Linked DNA regions of Danio rerio. The protein of the gene in region 2 purifies or fractionates together with the protein of the main gene of each other region. This does not show direct contact. Links are inferred from orthologs where the notes say so. Each region holds a gene or a part of one and is shown on either strand. Other genes may lie near its edges.

Evidence for each region.
Region 1: the proteins of mbip (region 2) and zzz3 purify together in Homo sapiens (affinity purification with mass spectrometry; 4 studies listed by BioGRID and IntAct, counting the BioPlex papers as one, with this or other methods). This does not show direct contact. The link is inferred for Danio rerio from reciprocal best matches to the Homo sapiens genes MBIP and ZZZ3.

Annotation. Positions count from the first base shown.
Region 1 is NC_133177.1:9,166,339-9,169,838, forward strand, and holds part of zzz3 (ZZ-type zinc finger-containing protein 3), read left to right. Parts: intron 1-846; coding exon 847-918; intron 919-1,951; coding exon 1,952-2,053; intron 2,054-2,305; coding exon 2,306-2,401; intron 2,402-3,500.
Region 2 is NC_133192.1:40,174,217-40,177,289, forward strand, and holds the end of mbip (MAP3K12-binding inhibitory protein 1), read left to right. Parts: intron 1-2,100; coding exon 2,101-2,139; intron 2,140-2,248; coding exon 2,249-2,353; 3' UTR 2,354-2,573; downstream 2,574-3,073. UniProt on the Homo sapiens protein: Inhibits the MAP3K12 activity to induce the activation of the JNK/SAPK pathway. Component of the ATAC complex, a complex with histone acetyltransferase activity on histones H3 and H4.

The DNA.
Region 1 (3,500 bases), on a different chromosome or scaffold from region 2:
AGACCATGCAAAAGTGGAGACCCAGGTGGTTTTAATATTACAGAATATGTGTTCCACCATTCATAGGCTTCACACTGATGTATATATGACAATTTTAAATTTAAAACAATTTACAAGTTACAAACTAAAATTAAATAACAAATTATGTTTTTGACGCAGTTGAATCAGAATTATTTGCCCTCTTTTGAAATTGTCTTTCTTTTCAAACTATTTCCCAATTTCTAGGCTTTATTGGTGATAACTAAGCTAGCTAGACAGTAATGTGTGAATTGTTGAGTGGGCAAAATAAAAACAAAAAAAAAGGTCAGTATTTTATTTTTATTATTGCCATAATTAAAAAAATATATAATTGTAGAGCAACCCAAGTTCTATTGCCATTAATATTTAACTTTAATAGGTTAGTTGAAGTCAGAATTATTAGCCCCCCTGAATTTTTAGTCGTCCTGTTTATTTTTTTCCCAAATTCTGTTTAACGGAGAGAAGATTTTTTTTTTCAACACATTTCTAAACATGATAGTTTTAATAACTCATTTGTAATAACTGATTTATTTTATCTTTGCCATGATGACAGTAAATAATATTTGATTAAATATTTTTCAAGACACTTCCATACAGCTTAAAGTGACGTTAAAAGGCTTAATGGGGTTAATTAGGTTAACTAGGCAGGTTAGGGTAATTAGGCAAGTTATTGTATAACGACGGGTTGTTCTGTAGACAGACAAAATATATATATATATATATATATATATATATATGTGTGTGTGTGTGTGTGTGTGTGTGTGTAGTGTAGCCACAATGCCCATGTATGCTGTTTTGTTGATTTTCCTACTGATGATGTTTGTTTAGATGATCAGAGGAAGGCTGTGCAACCAGAGCAAACCAGACACCTTCAACCAGCTGTGGACCATCGAGGAGCAGGTAGTACTAGTAGCTGTGAACTCTGAGACGTCTATAAACAAATTTAAACAAACTATTAAATGTGCACAGGTTGTAACACTGTTAGTCCAATTTATACTTTATTATTGTGAGATTGGCATCCCCCCCATGTTGCTGATATCCTTGTGAGCAATTGTACTTCTGCGTTCTGTCCATGTTGCTCTGCAATAACACTTCCGAAATAGTAGTTGGCAGTGGGGATTCTGTGTAAAACTGTGTTTTTTTGCCAATGTTTTGAGTTTGCACAGAAAATGGAGTAACAACAGTTCAAACTCACACTTTTTCTGGGAAGAAAGTTGGGAATCAGTGTGATCTTTTGCTGCTGTAGCCCATTCGCCTCAAGGTTCGACATGTTTTGCGTTCAGAGATGCTCTTTTGCATACCTCACTCGTAACAAGTGGTTATTTGAGTTAATGTTGCCTTTCTATCAGCTGGAACCAGTCTGGCCATTTTCCTCTGACCATTCTCTGTAAACCCGTGAGATGGTTGTGCATGAAAATCCCAGTAGATCAACAGTTTCTGAAATACGCAGACCAGCCCATCTTCCCCATTCGGATGCTTGGTTTAAATTGCAGCAGATCGTCTAGACCATGTCAACTTGCATAAATGCCTTGAGTTGCTGCCATGTGATTGGCTGATTAGAAATTTGCGTTAAGCAGTTGGACACCTGTACCTAATAAAATGGCCAGTAAGTGTATAGTGTGAATATTCTATATTTGAATATTTAACTTCTGTACCTAAATACTGTGATTTTAAAATATTTCACTTCTATTGTTTTCAGTAGTAATCCCTATATTCTTCCAGAATAATCCCCAGTCTAAATTAATGAATTCTTTCCAAATCATGCTGTTTATATGGCAATCTATATCGCAACAAAACAAAATATCGCTAATTTTTTCAAATATCGTGCAGCCCTAACAATTGTCCATTTAAATTTGTGAACGTATGCTATTATGTACATTTTAGTCTTTGGTGTAGCTGTTTTCTCATCTCATCTTGTATGTGAAACCTGTAGAAAAAGTTGGAGCAGCTGCTTTTGAAGTTCCCACCAGAGGAGGTTGAGTCTAAACGCTGGCAGAAGATCGCAGATGAACTTGGCAACAGGACCGCCAAACAGGTGCGTCTTCAGGGCCTGCCCATTCTCTCATAGCATTGACGGACTTCTCTTTCTAGTCACATTTTCACTGCTCAATAAATAAGTCATGCAATTCAAAGCCTCATTTAATGGAAGCTCTGTTGTTTACAGATGGGTTTTTTTTTTGCTAATGTGACAAGAGTCTGAAAATATAAAAGCTGTGGTCAGAAAGCTTCATCACTGAATTTATGGCCAGCTCTTTTTATGTCAAATGTTTGTTGCTTTTCTCTGCAGGTTGCTAGCAGGGTGCAGAAGTATTTCATAAAACTGACAAAGGCTGGAATTCCAGTGCCCGGCAGAACACCCAATGTGTGCATGTACAGCAAAAAGGTATAATCATTTTTTTAAATTAATTTTACATTTGTATTATTTTCTTTATATGTCATGTAATGTACACATAATTTGTATATTTATCTTTACACATTATTTACTACAACAAAGGGTTTGTGACTGTTTAAAGAGCCATGAAGCCCCCTGTCTCAGCAGGGTGTTTTTACACCTCTAGTTTGAAAAAAGTGGTCCAGCTCTGTTTGGGTGGGCGTGTCAAGTGGCGAAAGAGGAAGGGTTTGCATGAAAAGGGGAGTTTCAGTACGTGCACATGCTGATTTTCAAACACACGCACAGGCGAGATAGACTGTGACTCGGAGAGCAGCGGATCTAAGAGCTGTGTAAAAAAGTGCAGGATTTCTCTCCACCAGATTCTCCTCAGTCACATTATCTGTTTGATGACAGTGCAGGGCCACTGCCTTATCATTTTAAACCTTTCAACAAAAGCACGCCTGTGAATGCAGGAGAAAGTGAAAATGCTCCTGACAAAAAGAACATTGAAGTCTCGCAATTGTAATTATTATTCCCAACTTTATTTGTTGAAATAAACAAATAACTATTAATCACACCATTGTGCCTGCCAAAAATACACTAAAAAAAGAGGACTGTTTTAATCTTAATTTTCTCTGTTGTAATCTTAGGGTGCTTTCACACCTAGACTTTTGTTTCGGAACCTGTCTCATTTCCCCAGTTAGCGCGGTTCGTTTGGCATATGTGAATCAGCAAATGCTCTCTGATCCGCAGCAAAACAATTAGCCCGGAATCGCCTGAATGAGGTGGTCTCGGCTCGATTGAAACCAGGCCCGGATTGGCTAATCGGGAGGACCGGGAGAATTCCCGGTGGGCCGGTCTGTTTTTTGGCCGCGAGGGCCGGTGTCCCTAGCTGCTTGCACTCTCAGCAGTCACACTTTTTTCTTCTATTTATTTATTTGACCATAGCTTTACTTTTTTTAATCATTATTTTGCCGTAGTGCCGCTCTTTTTATTTATTTTCTCGCAGCCCCGTGAGAAAAATGCAGCCTGCAGGTTAACTAACGTTAATGATGATGATGTAATGCAACTATCGACCCCAAACAGCGGCACCTTAGTGAATATAAGAATT
Region 2 (3,073 bases):
CCCTGCTTTGTTTATTGCTATTGCCATGGAAACACTGTTATTCCTGCTGTTCTATAGGCGCCACCTGGCTTAGCATTTTAAATCAGTATATGAATAATGTATTCGTTTTACAATTAGTATTTAGTAGACTGTAAGTTAAAATGTTGCCGATGAGGTCTTAAAATGCATGGAAAGAGTCTTAAAAAAGGCCTTTAAAGGTATTAAATTTCATTCTCTGATTTTTGTATATACCCTGTCACAGCCCAGTAGGTCCGGTAAATGCCCAAGTTCCCTTGTCTCAATCTTCTTTTCACATCAGGGCCACAAAGTAAAACACGCAGAAACGAAAATTGAAAACAGCATCGCAAACTCACGGTTGACTAAAAAGTTAATCAAAATGAGCATTGCAATTGACTGTACGGGTTTTGTAAAGGCAATGCTGTAAAATTGTTTTGCAAATATATATCGTTTTTATTATTTTATATATATGCAAATACAAATCAAGCAGTGCTATATATATATATATATATATATATATATATATATATATATATATATATATATATATATATATATATATATATATATATATATATATATATAGCACTGCTTGATTTGTATTTGCAGTTCTTGTTTTGTTTGCTAATTTTTTTTTCTTTAATTTGCATTTATTTATTTATTGTTTAAAACTTTATTTTGCAAGTATATATGTATATATGAGCCTAGATTGACTCCATATGATAACTTTGGAACATTTTTAGACACCCAGAATGCTGTTATTACGCAAATTAATGTTAGCATGCCCATTTTCTCTGTTTTCCACATTTCAAGAATGCATAAATGTTTTTTTGTTTTTTAGTTTGTAAAGCACGTGTCATGTTAAGGCAAGTGTTTCTCAACCACGTTCCCGAAGAGTCCCACCAGCACTGTATGTTTTGGATGTCCCTTTTGTCTGTCACACTCATTACAGGTTTTTCAGTCTCCGCTAATAAGCTGATGATCTGAATCAGGTGTGTTTGGTTAAGGAGACTTGGTAAATGTGCAGAGCTGGTTGTTCTCCAGGTTGAGAAACACTGTGTTAAGGTACCATAGCTTTATCCATTAATGAGACATGATACATACATACATATATATGATAAATGGCCTCTTTTGACCCATTTAGTAATATTTGTTTGTTTGTTGCCATTTCCACTGTTTGTTTTTTCCCACTGTACCACAACACGTCCTTCTCGCATGTGTTTCCTCTTGCGTTCACGACAGTTGGCCGGAGAGTTCTTCAAAACCATTAAAAGCTGATATGAGTGATATATATTTTTTTCGCTCACTTCAGAATTTGTTATCCCTGTCAGATTGTAGCCCATCAAAGTTAGCTGAGTAAGTGCTCTTGAACCGTTTCTACGCCTCCTCACACCAGCTTCACTTAGTTCAGTGCTGGGCTGAAAGCTAGCTGATTTCCATGTCCTTTACAATGTGTGTGTATGTGTGTGTGTGTGTGTGTGTGTGTCTGTCTGCATATTGCCAGTAAAGTGGGACATTGAGTGCCGTCAAATATGCTGATCTTCTTAGTTTGCGCCGCAGCTTTCAGCAAGTCGAATGAATTAATTGAACTCTACTGACCAGGGTGAGCGGATATCATGCATCTGCCAAGTGGGTCCATATGCACCCATGAAAAGTGATTAAAATGGAGATAAATTATGGGTAATAGATAAAAAGAGATAGACAGAACAAATGAAAGGGCCATTGGGTGACAGAAAAAATCCCAATGGCCCCCACTTAATACTATTAATCAGTGCAAGTCCATAGCGGCTCGGGTTTGTTGGCAGTGATTGAGTGATGCTGAAGGACATCTCCGTTTCATACTCTAATCATGTGCCGTTTCTGTCCACTTACGCTTGTCCTTGGTTCGGCTTTTTTGTTTTGGCTGCCATTACATTTTTCTCCCCTTTTTGCTGTATTTTTTTCCACCCCCTTGTGAAAGCAGCCTTGTAATAGTTTTTCTTTGTTTTTGTTTAGTCTGATATTGAGATAAATGCTGCAGCGTGTTTTTGAATGACGCCTGATGTGCATTGTTCATATAAATCAGCATTCGTTTCATGCTTTCATTTCTTTTTTTTCGCCCAGAATTACTCGCACAAACGACCTAAAGCCTCAATGTCGCAGGTAAGTTCCATTACTGATTCATTTGCGTTTTCATGGAGAGAAAAAAATACGAAGGTCCCGCTGTTGAAAGAGAAGGTATTAGCTGATGAAAACGCTCTTGTTTTCACAGAACTACAGTCTGGCTGAGCTCGATGGGAAGATCAGTGCCGTCAAAGCTGCCTTGATGAAGAAAAGCAACGAATTCCAGTCCGCAGACGCAGAGTTTTCATACTGACACATGCACTTTTACTTTCTATGTTTTATTTTTTTCTTTCTCCTAATGACTTCATCTTTTTGGTCATGTGTGCAACTATGATGATCACACATTTCAGAGAGTGTGTCAGTGAATATGTTATATCTATAAAATGTATGGAAAATGTTTTGTTTTTTACATAAATGTGTCGTTGTGTTTTTTTTTGTACACCGCTTATGTAAATAAATGTGCATCTGATTTGATGGTGTTTTTCTTATGTATTTTTCCCTCAGCTGATAGCAGCCCTCCAGTATTTTTAATTTTCTTTGGAAAATGTATTCATCTTCTGAATGTGCAGTGTATTGGGTCACAAGGTTTATTGGTAACACTTTTTAATAACACTATGAATCAATTATTAAGCATTAGCATATATTGAATTCATTTTGTTAAGCTTTAACTCAACATTACTAGATGTTAGTAAGCAGTTTATAACTGCAGCTACCAATGCTGTATTCTGTACTTATAAGCACATTTATAATGTGCTTAATAATTGTACTTTCGTACTTTGTTAATGATTTATTTTTCATTACTAAATTAAGTATTGCATTATTTACAAACCAGTTATTTAAGCTTGGTGTTTTTTTCATTTAAGTTGGTGTTTTTTTAATAGCATTCAGAATGAGTATTTAGATAAACATAATTCTTATTATTAAGGCGTATATGAATAGTTAAGTTAATTTGTATATTAATAAATGCTTTGTT